2 linked regions of the Nothobranchius furzeri genome follow. The main gene of each other region encodes a partner of the protein of the gene in region 2 in a complex. Links are inferred from orthologs where the notes say so. Each region holds a gene or a part of one and is shown on either strand. Other genes may lie near its edges.

Region 1 (9,762 bases), on a different chromosome or scaffold from region 2:
CACCCCGGGACACGCACAATCCACCAGACATTAAAACAAACAAAAGGAGAAAAACACAAAAACACACTGTGATTAAACTGAAGCACATCAACAAGCCGTGCTCCTCCCTGCTGCTACTGCCACCTTACCTCAGACCAAAAGCCTCCCAGCCATCTTTAATATTTGTGGCTTCTACATGCAGCTCTAATGCTTGTGAACGCACCCCCAGAAAACCCCTGAGCAAAAGGAGGATTCTCCTTTAAGGAGATAAAGTTGATCACACTGTGCCAAAAATGCTCAAAACTACATCAGACTTCTGCTCTAAAGTCACCTACATTTATTAAAAAAAAAAAGATTATAAACCAACTGACTGTAAAGCTTGTTAATAAAAAAAAAAGTCTAAAGAAAACTATGAATATGAATGTGCACGCCAATGGAGTCAGAGAATAATTTACATGCTAGTCAAATTAAAACAACGCAACAACATCTGTGGGAAATAAAACATTATTTGAGTGGATAAAAGTTTAATTGAACTTGTTATTTAAATAAAATTCCTTCACTATTTTCTGGTCATGATCAGGTTTTTGCTGTTTAGGTTAATAAAGGAGAGCTTGGTACAAATGTTCATTTCTAACCCTAAATCAACAATTCTAAAAGGTATCAAAATTCCCTGAAAACCAAGACAGGAAATGAAAAACAATCTCACAGCTATTTGCACAACTTTGATTAAAACTCCTTTGTTATTTAAGTTGACTTCTTCATCTGGTCTGATCGGAGCGGGAGACTTTTGGTCCTGAAGCTCGGTGTGCAGCGTCTGCAGCAGGACTACAGAGCACGGCTCACACACATCCTTACCTGCTTGACATTGTAGCCTGCTTTCGCACTAGTCTCAATAAACATTACATTTAGTTCTTTGGCTTTCCGCTCACCCTCTTCAATAGATACTTGCCTGTGGTAGATAAGGAAGTTAAAAGATGCAACAAAAAAAGAAACAGGAAGACCGAAAGCATCAACTAGACAGACGTAAATCAGAAAACAATCATCACAAATGACATCAACGAAGAGAAGAGAGAACTTGTTCCGCTGCAGATCGGCTGGTGGTAGGCTGGTGTTTAAATGGAAGCAGTGATTTGAGCTGGTTTAAAACTTACCTTTTGTCTGCAAGATCTGTCTTGTTTCCCACCAACATAATAATGACATCACTTCCTCTCTCCGTTCTCACATCATCGATCCACTTTGTAGTTTGCTGGAAAGAGTTGACATCTAAAAGGAAACCAAACAGGAAGCAGAGCATCACTACTCAGGAAGAGAAAGCCTAAAAATCAAAGGAATGAGCGACAAGAAGACATTACAATAACAGCGGATGTATGAGGATGTGTTTTATTTCCAGATGTGGCATCACCTACTTGTGATGTCGTAAACTACGACAGCAGCAGCCGAGTCTCTGATGTAACTTGGGATCAGGCTGCGAAATCGCTCCTGCCCCGCCGTGTCCCACAGCTGCAACCGAATCTGTAGGGCAGGAAGAGGATGGAACAAAGAATAAAGAAATAAAATCTAATAAAACAGAGACAATGGAATAAATAAAAAAAAAAGACAAACAAGCTAAGTTTATGTGATGACAAGCAAACTGAAAGAAGAACAAATAAAGTATGGCTGAAGGGAAAACAGAGACAGAGGGAGTAGTGCATGCAGGTAGAAAAGCTGTCTGGGCCTGGAGGGGAAAGAAAAAGTCACCCTTCACTCGTCAGGGTAAAGTTTTCTGTTTTAAAATGTGATGATGGATTAATGCAGAGGTGGGAAGAAGAGGGAGAAAACTTGGTACAAACAGTGAAGCTAAATGGCACCATAATCACATTAGAGAGAAAAACCAGCCCTGAGTGTGTGTGTGTGTTTGGTGGAGAAAACACACAGATTCTTTACCAACCCAAACCCTACAGGAGATGAAAATAAACTTACTGTTCTGTCTTCGAGGTACATGGTCTTTGAAAGGAAATCTATTCCTATTGTTGCCTGACAACAAATGGGGAAAATTACCTTTAGTCAGCATCAATCAGCATAATTATAATCAAAGAATAGGTGAACTCACCTGATATGTGTTATCAAAGCTGTCATACATAAACCGGGTGATCAATGAAGTCTTTCCCACTGAAACACAAACAAAGGACTAAATATTTCAAAATGACCAAAATAAAAGTTTTTGACAAATATTGAACATAAGTTCATTGATTAAAAACATCAGAATATTTATGAAACCAAATTAAAATAAATGAATCGAGTTTTCTTCCACAAGAAAACACAATGATGACCTAAAGCCCAAAAGAAAATGACACGTTGTCACAAATGTAATAAAATTACAGCTTCAAGTTTTTGTTCACATTTCATAAATTAAAAGTTATTAAAGTAACATCTGGCATATGTAAACAATTCATAAAGTACTTTATATACTATAAATAAAATTTTATTGTTAATATCTTGATGTTACTTTTTATTGTTAGATCTACAGTGAAGCACTTTGTGAATTTTATTTCTGTGAACGGCGCTGTATAAGTAAAGGTTGAGTGGAGTATACTGTATATCTGGGGTATTTTTGTGGAGAACATTTGCTGCTGAGTGGATTCATGTTGGTTTGAGATCTGGGGCTGAGCTCCTCGGCCTCAGACCGTTTCTGTGTCGAGCTCGAGTTACAATATCGGTTACAGCGTGCATCAAGTGACGGTGACACAGCTGAAGCCAACACAGCAGCAAGGACCAACCGCTGATTACAGATGAGCAAACACAATATCTGTCTGCCTTATCTGGATGAGTCCCATTAAAGGCTGTGCCACGTGGAAATAAATGTACCGAATGATAAGGAAAGGTCAGATTTTGTAGAATGTCTTGTTCTCACCCTAAAGGAAAGTGAGTGTTGCAGTGAAGACCATCAGACATACCAAAGAAAAAGGCTCTCTAAGGGCTTGTGTGTACATTCAAATTCAAAAATGCTTTATGAATCCCAAAGGGAAATTAGAGATTAGAGGGAAATTTGTTTGCAGCTCATTCCTTTGATGATTTGAGTTTATTCGGAAAATCTACATGGTAGGGCTGCACGATATTAGGGAAACCTGCAATATTCGATATCAGTGATTAATATTGCGATGACGATATTACTTTCGATAAATAAAAACTTAATTCAGGAACAAAAATAATCAAAAACAAAGAAATAAAAAAATCATAAAAATGAGAAACGCAAAAGATGTGAGGAAAAGGAAAAAGAAAACGATCAAGAAAAGGCGATCAGTGGATCCCGGGAAAGGCAGAATCAGCAGAAAGAGCAGAAAAAAGCTAACTGTGTTTGCTAACCATTAAAATTATGTGCCGTTTGCCTCGGGGGCGGGCACCTAAACTATGAGATCCCACCTGATTGGCCAAATGGGTGAAGAGCTCTTTTTGATTTGTTTAAAAAAACATCATGTTTCTGATTGACAGAACACATTATGTGAAGCAAACATTTGAGCTGACCATTCAATGCGATATTTTTATGTTCTTTGCGATATGCATATTGCTCATGCTGATATCGCGATAACGATATATTTACGATATATTGTGCAGCCCTAATATATGGCTATATTATTCATTCCCAGAAAGTAATGCAAAGCAGACTGGACCGTGAACATGGGATGAAGCATTTAAATGTGTTAAAAACTTAAAAATAAGAACATTTTTGATAATAAAAGGACCTAAATTTTCATAGAGGTTAACAAGAAACATAAGAAGCCATCATTTGTTTGACATCGTCTTTTTCCTGCATAAATTCATCTCCAGAAAGGTTTTATATCAGAAACATATTCATGATTATAAAAAAAAGAAAGCTTTTACATGAAGTTCTGTTATAATGGGTCACCAACAGCTTGCATAAGAACAGAAAAGACTTGGTTCAGCTAAACCAAACCAACCTGAAACCCCAAATTAAGCTCACACAGTGGTGTTTTAGCTAAAGCTTGAGGGAAATACATGTACTTAACCTAATAACAGCACTACACTGTTCAGAGTACCGCAAACATCTTTCAGTTTTGGGGCAGATTGTTTGTGAACCCTGACTGGAACAAAGGTCAATGGGGGAGTGTAGGAATGTGACCAGGCAGGTTTGGATTATGGTAAGTGCCCCAAGGGTAGGAAAAAAGATGATGAATGTAATCATTGTTACGTTTACACACTAAAGCTGGGAATGCTAGTTAATAAACAATGATAAAACACTGTAGCAGCGTCATAAAGGAAAGTATTTATAATCAAACCGAACGTTTTACTACTTTTGCCACTTAAAACTGACCCGTGTTCTTCTAAATGAAACTTCATACGTCACTGACGCTGGTATTCGAGCCCACTGCGGTTAGTGACCTGGTGAACAAGTCCATTTCCACGATCATGAGTCATCTAGGTGAGAGTGAACGCCGGAGCCAGCGTGGACAAGACGACATCAACTGTGTCGCAATTTAACAAGTATTACGATTTGCAGCTAATGTTAGCAGGCTAACTGACTGGCGTTAAACACCGGAGTAACTCAACTATACATCCTAAGGAAACCAAGTTTAAATATAGTTAAGTTTTTATTTCTCCCAGCCAGTGAGAAACTTACCACTCTGTTCCCCAAGAAAGACCAGTTTAAATTTTCTTAAAGGGTTTCCGAAGTCTCCGGCCGTAGACATGACTGGATCAAACGAACCCGACAATCCTCTTCAGAAACTCTCCAGCTAGCCTGCTAAATGATAGCTAAGCAGCTGTTCTCACTATTTAAAGGTCCGGAATTCGTGTGCCAGCCTTTAAACCTGTCCACTTGTTGATGTGTGCTGTTCTGTAACCACCCCTCTTAGCGTTAATATACTATTTTACAACTCTGTGACTACTACTACCAAGTTAGCCTCAGTCCAGCAGATCAGCGAACTACACCGGGCCACTTCTTCTTCGCGCCGTATTTGCTGTTACAGCCGAACCGTTATGCTGCCATCTAGCGGTGAAACAAAAACAAACAACAATGACAACTGAAAACAATTCAACAGCAAGAAGATGATAGCTGGATTATACCATGCAGAATACGGATTTATTATGATTACATTCATATATAATTTCTAGATTAACTGTAGAATTTAAACAAATCTGGAAACGTAAAACATGGGTTTCGTGTTGGACACATGTTTTATGTTCATATGTCCACAAGAGGGCGGGCTCACACCACTGCAGACATTTCACACACTAAGCAATTTAGATTTTAATCTAATTATTATGAGCTGTTCTGAAGAACCTGGTCTGTCCTGTGGTTGTGTTTATCACCACGGTATGATACAGTCTCCATAAGTTTATTCTTTAATAAATTTTAGTCAACAAATCTGTCTCAACTATTTTCTTGCAAATTTTGCTATTTCATCCTAGTTACACCTAATGTTTTCAGTTTAATTTGCTCAAGTTAATTTGATGAGGTAAATACAAAGACTAGGAAAACGAGCAAGATCTGTGCTGCAAATAGTGCTTTTAACAAAAATGCTAATTAGCAACACTTGGGTCACTAATTGGGGTCAAAGGAGACCTAAAGGTTAGATCAAAAATTTAAATTACAATATATTTTGGAAGAGAGTGCATTATTTTGGTGTGCACTTTTCTGATCATCAGCCTTGTTGATGCTTGAATAATGTCACTTGTCTTTGCTCAGGGTGGACTATTTTGAGACATCACTGCAGGATTAACATGTGTGGTTTTATAGTCACTATAGTGATGGCAGCACTTGCTGGCAGCCTTTCAACATAAAATCAACTGGCATTAATTATTTGGCATTAACAAAAATTAGATCACGTTTAACAGGATGTAGGTGTGATAGTAGAACTTTGTGGAGCCGGCTTTGTCTGACACGTTTTTAAACTGTCATCTGATTCTGTTGTTTACAGGAGCCTTTACAGCTGGTGACCTCCAGCTTGTAGGACGACAGCTGTTATGAAGCCCTCTGGCAATTTACAAGGTGACTCTCTTTAGCTCCCTATGCAGAGATGGGTGTCAGAGTGAAAGTACAAGTTTCATTTTGTTGCAAATGTTCATAAAAATGGGTCTGATTCTTGTTTAATTCATGCAATTGGCCTCGCAAGAAAAGCAGAACTGCATTCCCATCCTGCAGCTGGTTCACACAGCACTTCTAAATGGAATGCAGCCCTTGTTAACACACCTGTGCTCTCCTGAAACTCAACACAACTCTCATTCATTAACAATCATTTTTGATATCCTCATTTCCTCCCTTGTTACAACACGTCATGAACGTTTTAGAGGTCAGAACACTAATCAAAGTCCCTTCATGGCCTTTGTAATGTTTCAGAGTAGGAGATGTTGTAATTTAGTGAGATTACACAACCTTAAAAGGGAAATCAACATTTGACTTGAAAAAATGTAAAAATATCCAAATTCTGGATCCCTACAGTGGAGTTAAAGTCTGCGGTATTTTTGTGCCTGCTTTAGCTAACCCTTCTAGGTCACTGAAGAGAAGACACACACCTGCGCCCCTTCTCATTCATGTCCCATTCCCGGAGTGCCGTTTGGCTGATGCCAGCGCTTCAGCTGCTCTGCTTCTGCCAAACCAAAGCCATCACACTCCACTGATCCCCCTCTTTGCTTTAGCACTCCTACGCCTTATGTCCTTGGTAAGGAAAATACCCCCACCCCTCCTTTCCACAGTCCCCCTGCTGAAGATGCTGATCTGGCAAAATCTCGGTAGATCTATGTCCCCCCCAGTCTCTCTTCATCTTTACCGCGTTCACATTTGGAGGGAAGGTTATGGAAAATGGCTTCACTTCATCATTTTTCTTTGAGAATCCACTTTAATATAATTTTGAATTTTCCATAAAAGCTCAAGGACATGCTCTGTAGCCAGGACTTCACATTGCTGTGCTGCACCCTGCGTCGTTTACTTCTGCAGAACTTGGCTCAGCGTCCTGAAAGGGAAAGCCTTATTACTATGACTCACATCTCGGGAAGCAACTTTGTGATTCTTTCTTTAGTTTAATCACCCTCTCCCCTGGGCTTTAGTGGAAGGAATGCAGATGTATTTGTCTTGCGGCTGTGAGTGTGTTGACTGCACACCGTACGTTTGCCTGCATCTGTGGGCGTAATGGTGGAGGACCAGCATACTTCCTCTCAACCTTAACATAAATCCAATGAATGCAGCTTTCAATGTCACTGCAAAGTACAATACATTGCTCATTTCTCCTGAGAGGGAGCGAGAGAGAGCATGGAGGCTTGCATGTAGGGTGGGTGGGGGAACTGAGAAACACGATGAGAGGAAATACAGAAAGGGCATTAAGGTTGGGTGAGGATCAAATAGGTGTGTTTTTGTACTCAGTACAGTAAGATAGACAAAGGTGAGGAGATAAATAGTGGATGTGATGGAAGAGTTCCTCTGATTCTCCTCCAGGAGGTTAAAAGAGGAAGAGATCATTTGAAGTGAACATGAAACACGGCTGAGGTCCCGGAACAAAGGGTTGCTGAGACACGCCAGGAGGTGCGGTTAGATCTCAGATTCGCCCTGTTCAGCGTCAGCCTGAGACAGGTGCAGCAGTACAGCAGGAGGGAGTCTTGCAAGCATAAGTGAAGCAGCGATCAGGGTAGCAATCCAAGCACATTTACCAGAGGAGGCGAGAAGACGAAAGGGAGGGAGTGAAAGAGGGAGAGAGATGAGAGGGAGCAGATCTCTGAGATGATGGGGAGGGAGGAGGGAGGGGGGTGTTGCATGCTCACAGAGTGTGACAGAGATAGAGCGATGAGCGAGGAAGAGGCACAGGGACAGAGAGGAGAGCACAGAGCTCTGAGAGCAGAGATGGGGACCGACCATTGAGACAGAGGTAGCTGGCAGGACTGAGATCCAAACAAACCGGAACGGGGGAGAGAGGGGAAGGAGGAAGAGAACGGAGGTGGAGCGAGAGAGAGAGAGGGGGGAGGCAGAAAGGGGGATGCTGGATGATGGAGCCCAGAAATAGGTTTTACAGGACAGCTTTTCATCCCTGCTCCCTGCAGCAGACATGACTCTGGGCATCGGAGTGTGCTGAAATCTGCCAGTAGGACGAAAGAGGACAGCAGGTCTGCAGCAAAGTGCTTTGGTTAATTCTCGCTGGATGCAGCAAGGCAGCTGATTTATTACTGAGGACCTGGATGGCAGCATGTTTGTGCACGCGGCTCTGAGCGTATGTATGTGTGTGCAGGTTTTTACAGGTCTGTGTAGTGCTCGGAGCTCCGAGAGAGCAACCATTCCTCCAGTCATGAAGTGACATTTAGCAGGCAGGAGCTTTGTGTGCTGGTCTGGATCTGCAGTCCTCTGTAGGAAGTGGGAGAGAGGGATTCAGAGCTGTCGCTGTGTGAAAGTGTGTGTGTGTGTTTACAGTGCTGTTGGCTAAGGTGAGCCAAGGAAGATCAGCTGTATGTGGTGTGTGTTTAGGTTAGAGCAGCAGGGGTGCAGCAAAGGCAAAGAACCACAATGCAAGGACGAGTGTAGAGCAGCACCAATGGCACAGAGTGCACCTGAAGTACACAGAGTGCACTGGGAGTAAGGGTAGAGGGGGGTGGAGGAGGAGGGAGACAGGGGAGGAAGAGGAGAAGGAGAGAACAGATAGAGGACGGGGAGAGGAAAGTGGAAGAGAGAGGGTGATCATGGCTGTCATACTGTGAGCTATAGCATATGCTGTAGCGCAGAGCAGAGTGGTGCTGCAGGGGGAGGACAAGCATCATTGCACTGGGGCGGGGGGAGAAAACTGAGGCAAAGAGAAGGGGGGAGGCAGTGAGTTCAGCACCTCTCCTTCAGCTTGGTGGGACAGGCCCGGCAGAAGACACTCAGAGACGAGGAGCCGGGTCAGTGCGTAGAGGTCAAGAGGGAGCTGGTGTGGGGGATTTGGTGCACCCCCCTCGCTGGTCCGCAGACAGGCTGGTCCTGTAAAGAGCAAGACAGAAGACAGATCAGCTCCCCGAGTCCCCTTTCTTCAGCTCGCTCTGCCGTGTTTCCATCACCATGGGAGAATGGACCATTCTGGAGAGGCTGCTGGAGGCAGCTGTCCAGCAGCACTCCACCATGATCGGAAGGTAAGGAACACAAACCAGGTGTCTTTTCTTGTTTTGTTTATGCTGCTGTCCCATTTCTGGACATTCGCCTGTTCCAGGCCCGTCCCAGTTCTGTCCTCTTTTCTCCAACCCCTCCACATGTCCTCCTTGACCCCTTGTCCTTTCCTCCTTTCTACCTCCCTCACACTTGTCCTACACACCAATCACTAGTTAAGGGACAAACTAATTACACATAATCAATACCAAGGCTTTACCAAGCATCGTGGTTAAAGCAGAGGTGTTCTTGTGATGCTACCACCTATCAGCACAGATATTGATAGACGATTGGCCTCAGACCAACAGGGCAGAAGGAGGAGAGGAGAGAGGGAGTGAGGAAGATGAAAGAAAGTGTGGGAGCAGGTGTCGAAGATAGAATCAAAGGAGGGAGAAAATTCTCTACTCCAAGGGAATTTTTAGGAAAGTCAGTTTGCGTTTACCGGCGGGCGCCTAAACGGCATCATAGTGAATGTGATCAGATCGCCTCTCAGCTTTTACTGTTACGGTGGTTTTTGGCGGAGAGTTGAATCGATGCGCTATTTGACTGATCATCAGCAGAGACATAAAATCTGTAATAGACGTGCTTCACATCATCTGTGTGTGATTAGTGAGATGCACAAGGGGGAATTTTCCACCCACTGAACACAATCCAAATATCTCCCCCGGATGCTCTTTTAGAAGAGCGAC
Region 2 (9,662 bases):
GACCCATCCCCGTGGGGAGCGGTGAGCTGCAGCGTTGGCTGCGCTCGAGAACTATTTGGCGGTTTAACCCCCAATCTAACTCCTTAAAGCTGAGTGTCAAGCAGGGAGGCATTGGGTCCCATTTTTACAGTCTTTCAACCCCGACTTCTCAGTCCCAGTGGACACTCTACCACTAGGCCACTGAGAAGGTTCTGCTTTAAACTTACTGCTCTGGCTCTGAAGGTTGAAGAGCTGCTCCTCAACTCGGGTCAGTTGTCCCTGCAGCATTTCCATGGTGGCCCGGTGGTCGTCCTGCAGCTTCCTCAGCTGCTCCCTGTAGGTGTGCCGCTGGGCCTCAGCCTGGGAGGACAGGTCAGTTTGAGCCTGGGACAGGTCCGACCGCAGCGCCACATTCTCCGACTGCAGTGACAAAACCCTTGAGGTGGAAATGGAGGAAAGTATAAAACAAGATCAGTGATTGCTCAAAGATATTTCCATGGCATCTGACAGGAAAACAATATTTGTTTTTGGTTTTTATGGCATCTTATAAAAGCAAAATAACAAGGATGGCTAAGCACTGAGAACAAAAATAGCACGAGAAACTCCAGCTGAGATGTTAAAACAACAAACCTCTCGCGGAGCTCAGCTTCTTTGCTGATGTTTTCCTGCAGGATTTTGTTGTGTCTCTCCAGCAGAGTGTCGTGTTCGGTCTGGAGCTGCTGCAGCTCTGCTGTGCTGCTCAGGAGGCTCTGCTGGCTCTCCGTCAGTCTGGTCCTCAGCTGGTCGACCTGGGAGGACAACTGCTCCCTGCAAAGGATACCACATGTTCATATTAGAGTTACAGCCTTAAAGCCGCAACGGCAAATTTTAAAACATTTTATCATGCCTCTTAACAACATTCTAACATACTATAGCTATAAATATATTGTGGAGATTAGAAATAATTAAAAATTAATATAGTGGTTCTCTTGCATTTGTCTAAAGGCCTCCACCAACAAACCAACCATTGATTGGACCATCCAGTCGTTGGTCTCACCGAACCGTCACACTTCCCTGGTCCTCCACTCATCAAACACTCATGTATTCAGCACCAGAACACCACAGGTGTGAGAGGTTCTCCGCTCGGTAACACCAGAGAAGGAGAAACAGCTGGCTGCTACCACTTCAGCTTTAGGACAAACTACCAGAGTCCCAAAAAGAACAACTCCATTTGAAGTAACGAACAACAAAAGACGCGTGGACCTAGAAAACAGCGGTAGGTGTTTAGCGCCATCTCTTTTCCTCCGGTATGGTGGGCTTCTGGTTCCAGCAGAAGCATCTCATGGAGGATGCCCGAGTGTTCTGTGACTGAACCGAGCTTGTTCTGCAGATTTGCTTTAGCAGCCTTCATGTGGATCATTCTCCTGATGAGTGTTGTCTGCACCATGTACACAATCTGTGATTTCCCTAGGCTTATTGAGTTTTTCCTGATGCTTTGAATCTTTTTTATACTTTTAGTTTCTTAAAAGAAATGATTGATTTATGTAGCATGTACTGATGGTTATATTTGATTTAAGCATGCTTTTAGATTTCACATTAAAATACTTATCTATATATCTATATCTATATATGTGTGTGTGTGGCTTTAAAACTCCAAAGGTCAGTTAAGTCATTTCCTGAATAAATATTGGCAGCTTTGTAACATATAACCATAAAAATCAGATCTAAAATACATGACAGTGGGTCCAAGTCTTTGGGCAATGCCATATTAAACTCCATGTTTCCTTCTATGTGAGCTTGTGAGGACAAAACGAATTCACTGGCCAGAAGAATGGATAGCTTTGATAGCAGGGCTCTGAGAACATTGAGAACATCAGGTGGCCCCAGCGGGTCTCCAACCAAGTGTGAAGAGAACGCACGTGCCAGCCCAGTGCATCTTGCCTGGCAGCGCAACGCCACACCCACTGGCTCGGCCATGTCCTCCGTCCTTCTTTTGACCACTCGACCAGAGCCATTCTGCAGTTTGACCCGTGGGCCGCAGGCTGGAGATGACCCGATGGCTCTTTGTTGTTGCGGGCGACCTCCCAACTATTCGGAGTTGCTGTAGCAAATGCAGAGCAGCTGGCACGAAACCGCCAGCACTGGAGACAACTAGTTTACCTGGTAGGCTCAACGCACTGATGCGGGATGACACCCGACCCTTCGCAGGAGCCTTGATGATGATAATGATAATATACTATATATATAAAATTGGCTGAAATAGTTGCTAAGAAGTGGCGTTTTAACCTTTTATTCTGGTTTTGTTTCCAACACATTTCACTGGAGGGTAGAGTGAAGGGAACATCGCTGTAACATCACCAGCTGGTCATTTACAGCCTCTTCTGTTATCAGACCTGTTGAGTCCTGCTATAAAAGGGCAAGGAAATTCCTGGACAAAAAGCCAATGTATCATCACTGTCCGATTCTGGATAAATATTCTATACAGAGTTTCCAAAATTTTAAACATTTTAAATCTGCTTGCCTGGCCAAGTTATTCATGGTCTAGCCCCTCCACCACTGAATGATTTTATTATTCAAAAGTCACATAGGGACTCTTCCCGATTAACTCGAGCTACAGTTGGAGGTGACTGTGAGCGCACGCTTAGGCGAACGACATTTTCTCAAAATGTTCTGTCATTCCAGGGCTCGACTTTTTGGAACAGCATTCCTACTCAAGTGAGAGAAAGCTCAAGTTTTATTATTTTCAAAAGACAATTCAAACTGTGGCTACAGGAAACTCAAAGATGCAATCATAGATGAGACTTTTGTTTTTACTCTTGTCTTTTTTGTAAAATAAGTTCCTAACTGTTTTTTTTTTTTTTTTTTAAATGTATATTGTTGTCTGTCTTACCTCTTTACATGAACCTGCCAGAGGACTGCAGATGGAGATTAGCCTAAGGCTACAATCTGGCATATTTAGTTGTATTGCTGTTCATAAATATGCAATGTCCTCTCTTTAAATAAAGTAAATAAAATAAAGTAACCTGCTGATTGAGTCTTTATTAAGGTGGACGTCACCTGATTGCTTTACTGCACCGTCACATTGATCTCACCTTTCTCTTTTGCCAGAGTCTCCTTCGCTTTGGGCACTGGTTTTGCTCTTCTGCTGCTTCAGCACATTGTGGACTCGTACCTTGTAACTCTCAAACTCACTGGTTGTTGTTACAAGCTCAGCCTGGAAAAACAAACGGATGATGAAAAGGTAACACGTTTCTCTACAGAGACACTTTTGTTCTTTAAATCACACAATCTACCTCTAATAAGAGAAACCGCAGCTCATCTAAATATGCCCAGAAACATTTCATGAATTACCCTAACCGGCTTGAAATGCTTTAAAATTAGGTTTTTAATACCTGGAACAAACCTCACACAGAGTTCTGTTATGTTTTATTCCAATATGTGGAATTATTTGTTTATTTATTTGGCAGACGCTTTTATCCAAAGCGACTTACAGTTTATAACCTATAGGGCATGTTGTGATCTGTTGGGGAAACCGGAGTACCCGGAGGAAACCCACGCATGCATGGGGAGAACACGCAACTCCACGCAGAAAGGCCGCAGCCGAGTTTCGAACCTGCAACCTTCATGCTGCGAGGCAACAGTGCTAACCACTGCGCCACCATGCACCAATTATTGGTGTCTTAACCTTTATGTGAGCATTTATCTCAGTAGTGATCATGTTTACTTGAACAGTGCCCTTCACCTTTGTTCCTATCCCATTGAGCTTCCTGAGTGAATGTCGAATAAAACTTCAGAACGAGGCCTAGAAAGGAATGTTACCTTAGCGGTGTCTCTGTCCTGCTGCAGACCGTGGATGCGTTGCTGCAGGGAGCTGCTGGTTCGGTGTTGCTGCTCCAGCGCAGACCTGAGCTGCTCCTGCAGACGATGGCGCTCGGCTGTCAGCTCACACACCTCAATCTAAAAGCACAAGCACACAGTTTAGGATGCAGCTGCGTAAGGATCAGCTGCTGGGTTCTGGGAAGTTCTCCAATTGTTACCTTAGAGCTTTCGAGCTGCTGCTGGTTAGCCTCCAGCTCTCCTTTCAGAGAAGCCTGAACCATCATCAGCGAGCTTTCCTGCATGTTTGAACACACACAGATAAAAACCACCATCAGCACAGAGACATGTAGTCACAGCCATGCCTACACAAGGCTGGATAACACACACGCACACACACACACACACACGCACGCACGCACACACACACACACACACCTGTTTCTTGGCATCTGCCAAGTCTTTCTTTGTCTTCACCAGCAGCTGTTTCATCTTCATGGTCTTCTCCTCTTCCTGGTCCAAATGAGACTTCAAAGCCTCTGGAGACGTGATGTGAGATGTGTGCACACGAGCATGACAAAAAATGAAATAAAAAAAATATTCAGTGATATTTATGGTCTAGTCTGTCACCTTGCTGCTAACTGACTGCATGGAGCACCAGAAAACACGGTGGACGTTACAGATAAACACATCAACGATGCTACAGCTGCACAACGAGGTCAATCGTTAGGAATATGCAGGAATTACTGATGCTACTTTTGTATTTTCTAATAAAATAAATCTGAATTTAAGGATTTTGGAATCTATGGGGTAAAACTAACCAACAACAAACTGTTATTTGAATGAAACTTTATTAAGTACAGAAACATTGCATTGGTACCGATTTCCTGCTTGAGCGTCTCCTGCTTCTGAGTGAAGCTGCTAATCTGGGCTTTTAACTCCTCCTGCTGCGCCTCTTTCTCCCTCAGCTTGCCATTGAGTTCTTTCACCAGACGTTCATAGTCGGCCATCTCCATGTCCAGCAGGGAATTCTGCTGCGCCTCCTAGTGGCAGAGTCAAAGTACTACATCATTAATGTGAAGAGAGCTGAAGCTTCTCAGTCAGACAAAGAAAAATGTGTTTAGTGATAAAACTAGTTAGCCCATTATCGGGCGATTAACCCGATTTAGTACAATGTCCAGTTTAAGACTGTATCTTGTTCTGGAGATACTGTCCTGCTGGTCCAAGAGTAGCATTAGCTCTCTTCTGAAAACTTTCCTGTTACATCAGATGCATTTGTAAAAAGCACCTGGATGCATCTGTGGTCTGTTCCACATGTTGAACAGAAAAATAATCACATGCTTTTGGCTAAAACCCTATTTAAGGACATGACCTTTACAGATCTTTGCAAAAATTTAAGTATACGTGACAAACACAATACAATGTTTGATTTAGCAACTCCTGATATGAACTTTTTACTTTCTTTATCATAAAATGTGCTACTAGTTCATGTGTGCGTGTGTGTGTGTGTGTGTGCGTGTGTGTGTGTGTGTGTGTGTGTGTGCTCTGTCCTAAATCCCAGTGAGGCGTGACCAAGCCCCCACAATGCATCTCTAAAATTGAGTCAAACCCGGAAATGAAATAAACTGCAGTTCCACCCAGCGGATGAGGGGAATACACGGTCAAAATGGCGGCGGTGGCCACCTCCCATTTGGCCTCAAAAATGTGATATTGGAGCCTATGGAAAGGAGATGTCCAGTATATTTATGTCGATGGTCGTGACAGATGGCTGCTCAGATGGCTGTTGGAGGTTTCTTCCTAGTAAAAGGGAGTTTTCCTCTCCACTGTCCTTATAAAGGAAACTTTTAACTAATTTGAATAATAAGTGGGTTTAATTAGAAGTGTCTTGAGATGACTCTTGCTGTGATTTGGCGCTATAAAAATAAACTGAATTGAATTCACTCTAAAGTCCAAGCAATACGTTGTATTTTCTGTATGAATGTAATCAAATATAATTACTATATCTTATTGTAAAAAGTAAAATAAAACCTATTTTAAAATGTTTAAATATAAAATTCTCCCTAGACTCGGCACAAACACCAGCCTGAGAAAGTCCGTTTCTCTAGATGAAACCAGTAAAGTGGACCCCAGACAAAGCCAGACCTGCAGGCAGCTGTCATGCACCCTGCTGGAACATTCAGGTCTCCACTAATGGAAACTAACAGCAGCTCTTTGGGCTGTGGGCTAAAGCTGCTCCCTCTCTCTCTCTCTCTGAGGTGCAGCTGTAGCTTCAGGGCAGTCATAAGCAGTTCAGTGCCTTGACCGGATTTTGCTCTGAGAGACCACTTCGGTGCTGGCGTACCTTGCGTAGCTGCTCCAGTTCCTGAGCGGCCTGCTGAGATTGCTGCTGCTGCTTGCGGAGCTGAGCTGTCAGCTCCTCCACCTCCTTCGTGGCAGATGACAAATCCTGGTGAGGGAAACGCAAACAAACTGTCAGCTCTTTTAGCTTCAATCATGTGAAACTGATCTATTACAACACATATCAGGGGCTTAAACGTATATTATATAATAAAAGGGCAACACATTTTTCTGGTGAAACTGTGCAAAATCTAAATCTGCTCATGCTTCTGTTTCTCTCCGTTTTCTACCTTAAGCTTTTGCTCCTTCATTGTTCTCTCAGCCAGGAGGTCATTGTCTTGATTTGCTAATTGTTTCTGCAGCTCCTGGTTCTTGACCTCCAACTGCTTCACTGTGCTCCTCATGGTCTCCAAACCAGCCAACAGATCCTCCTTCTCACTGCTCAGTGTTTCCGTCTGCAAAACAAAACAAAACAATATTCTCTAACTACGGTGTCAGGAGGAATCCAGTCAAATATTCTAAGGGGATGAAAGGTGGAGGGCTTGTTCTAGTTTTCCTTAGTGGAGACTTTCTGTAGAACACATGCTTGGAGGCAAATGCACCAAACTCTGAAAATCATCCACGTGAATCTGACAGCAGCAGGCTCTGAGGGCGTTCTCTAAACAGAATACTCAACCAGCGCCAGCTCCAGCCTTCTCCGGTCAGCTGTCAGCCAAACACTGGAAGTGTGATGGGTAAACTGAGACGTCGGGACGTACCCTGAGATCCCGAACCAGCATCAGTCTGTGTGCTTCCCCAGGGACCCATGAGTAAATATGAGAATGAAGCGGTGTCTCAGAAAAAGCACAGATGGAGGCTACACCCCGCTCCATTTACTTGGCGGTTCTCTGGTTGCAAAAAGACAGCTTCGATGAAACGAGTGTATATAAAAACAATTTCTCCCTTGCTCACCCAGTCACGTCTGATGGGCTGTTTGTGGGAGCCCGCCTGTCAGATTTATCTGGGAGAAGTGTTGCTGGCTAAAATGACTCTTTAAATCATATGGAAACAGAGTTATGCTTAAAGTATTGCTGGATAGAGTCCCAAAGCCAAGATTTACTGGACCCGAAGGGCACTTTGTCTCTCGACTCACTGTAATGTGTGTGTGTGTGTGTGTGTGTGTGTGTGTGTGTGTGTGTGTGTGTGTGTGTGTGTGTGTATGATGGAGTGTGTTTTCCAGTTACCTGTGTGACAGCACTGCTGAGTCGTTTGGTCAGATCAGCAATCTGTCTCTCCGCTGCCTCCAGATTCTCTCGCTCTTTGTCCAGCTGCTCGGTCTGCTTGTCGTAATCTATCTGCAGGTTCTGCAAACACACACACACACACACACACACACACACACACACACACACACACACACACACACACACACACACACACACACACACACACACACACACACACACACACACACACACACACACACACACACACACACACACACCTTCAATACTCCTTAATGGAGATGGCTTAACAGCTCAGTGAAGGCTAACTATCTGCACTGACGTTTGGGACAAAACTCTCATTAGACTCAACAGAGCAGTTTCCTCTTAGGCGTAAGAGTCTGGGTGCCGTTTATAGACACCACTGGGAGCTGTGTTATGCTTTAAAGAGCGCACACTTCCACTCGCCACTTAGCACCAAACCATAAGAAAGAATGAGACAGATTTAAATGTTAATTGGAGAATGTTGGTTTCACTTTAGGTTTATCTACACTGTTCTTTTTATTTGGGTAAAATACAGATAAATAATAGCTTCGCCCCTTTCAACCAACAACGCCTTACTCTAAATACCACCTTAAAACTTTATATTTGATTCATCATGTTGTAAATCTGTTGATAACAGTTCTAGTTTTTAAACTACTACTACTTCTTGGTGTCATCAGTGACTCAGACCTGAGCTTCTCAGGACATATGAAGGCTATAACTAAATCAGCCTTTTATCACCTTCATCAATCATCAAGAGTCAGAGGTCTCATACCCAGACCAGACTTAGAGAAACTCATTCATGCTTTTATTTCTGGTCGGCTGGACTACTGCAGTGGTCCCCTAACTGGTCTTTCCAAAAAAGCTGTGAAGCAACTGCAGCTTGTTCAGAATGCTGCCGCTAGAGTCTTAACAAGAACTGAGGGAACGGGCACATCACTCCTGTTCTTACATCCCTACACTGGTTACCAGTAAACTGCAGAATAGACTTCAAAGTGCTTCTACTAGTTTATAAATCACTCAGTGACATGGGGCCAGAATACATGTCCAATCTCATTCCTGTATACACACCCAATAGGGCTCTGAGATCCCTTGTCAGAATCAGCTGGTAGAACCTCGGGTCAGAACCATGCCAGCTGGTAGAACCTCGGGTCAGAACCATGTCAGCTGGTAGAACCGCGGGTCAGAACCATGTCAGCTGGTAGAACCTCGGGTCAGAACCATGTCAGCTGGTAGAACCGCGGGTCAGAACCATGTCAGCTGGTAGAACCGCGGGTCAGAACCATGTCAGCTGGTAGAACCTCGGGTCAGAACCATGTCAGCTGGTAGAACCGCGGGTCAGAACCATGTCAGCTGGTAGAACCGCGGGTCAGAACCAAACATGGTGGAGATGCATTTAGTTACTATGCTGCTCACATATGGAATCAGCTTCCCCATGACCTCAGATGTGCCCCAACCCTAGTGCTGTTTAAAACACAACTAAAACCCTCATGTACTCATCAGCCTTTACATGAATGGTTTCTCATGCTGCGTCGTCTCCACTGTAATCTGCGCTGTAACTTTGTCTTCTCCTTTAGCTCTAAACTGTAATTCTATCTGTGTGTATTTTAATTTGTGTTTTTACATGTTTTCATGTCATTTCCTGCTAATTGTAAAGCACATTGAATTACCTCTGTGTCTGAAATGTGCTCCATAAATGAAGCTGCCTTGCCTACTAATGGTTAAAACTGTCTCATTTCTAAAATACACCACCACAAAGTAGTGAAACTGAAAAACAGGAGACAAATATTAGAAAATATAATGTTCTTTTTTTATTTACAACCACCACTGCTTCCAACAAACCCAGTAAATAATCTCTTTTGAGTCCCTTCACCCCTGCTGCTTTTTTTGAATTGCACACTTTCTGTTGTCAATCTAGCTACAAATAATCTGCCATCTTTGTAAAATCCACATAATATTCTTAGTTTTATTACTTAAAGGGATATTTGTGTCTGTTGACATATTTCTCAGCATCACAAAAGTGGGAAAAAGCCATTTGTAATCAGCCCAGTCATTCTGCTGACCCGGCGGTACTTCTTTAGCTTTAGCTTAGCACAAAACACAGTAAGTGAATGGTACCAACTATCATTGTGAGAAAAAGTCCTTGGCAGTGATACAACTGCTTAGTGACCTAACCATTTTGACTGCATGTTAAAATAAAAAGTAACACACAGGCTTTACAGGCATTATTTTACACTTTAGGACAATGTGCAGCTGTGAGCTTTAGCCGAAAGGCGAAGGACATGACAACCCTAGACACTGGTACAT

Evidence for each region.
Region 1: the proteins of GRIP and coiled-coil domain-containing protein 2 (region 2) and ras-related protein Rab-6A are in contact, whole or in part, in a crystal structure (PDB 3BBP), measured with the Homo sapiens proteins. The link is inferred for Nothobranchius furzeri from reciprocal best matches to the Homo sapiens genes GCC2 and RAB6A. Residues at the interface, in NP_852118.2 of Homo sapiens: Thr1585, Ile1588, Leu1589, Glu1591, Gln1592, Leu1595, Leu1596, Glu1599, Arg1602; in NP_942599.1 of Homo sapiens: Lys15, Ile46, Gly47, Ile48, Trp67, Arg74, Phe75, Ser77, Leu78, Ser81, Tyr82, Asp85.

The regions. Positions count from the first base shown.
Region 1 is NC_091750.1:48,850,910-48,860,671, reverse strand, and holds the start of ras-related protein Rab-6A, read right to left. Parts: upstream 4,940-9,762; 5' UTR 4,665-4,939; coding exon 4,595-4,664; intron 2,128-4,594; coding exon 2,069-2,127; intron 1,993-2,068; coding exon 1,939-1,992; intron 1,492-1,938; coding exon 1,386-1,491; intron 1,243-1,385; coding exon 1,131-1,242; intron 929-1,130; coding exon of another isoform or gene 835-928; intron 1-834. Other genes in the region: gap junction delta-2 protein-like, read left to right, coding at 8,990-9,060. UniProt on the Homo sapiens protein: The small GTPases Rab are key regulators of intracellular membrane trafficking, from the formation of transport vesicles to their fusion with membranes.
Region 2 is NC_091747.1:23,132,344-23,142,005, reverse strand, and holds part of GRIP and coiled-coil domain-containing protein 2, read right to left. Parts: intron 7,455-9,662; coding exon 7,335-7,454; intron 6,567-7,334; coding exon 6,402-6,566; intron 6,221-6,401; coding exon 6,116-6,220; intron 4,818-6,115; coding exon 4,655-4,817; intron 4,314-4,654; coding exon 4,213-4,313; intron 4,074-4,212; coding exon 3,996-4,073; intron 3,916-3,995; coding exon 3,778-3,915; intron 3,173-3,777; coding exon 3,051-3,172; intron 1,254-3,050; exon of another isoform or gene 1,109-1,253; coding exon of another isoform or gene 964-1,108; intron 787-963; coding exon 610-786; intron 416-609; coding exon 207-415; intron 1-206. UniProt on the Homo sapiens protein: Golgin which probably tethers transport vesicles to the trans-Golgi network (TGN) and regulates vesicular transport between the endosomes and the Golgi.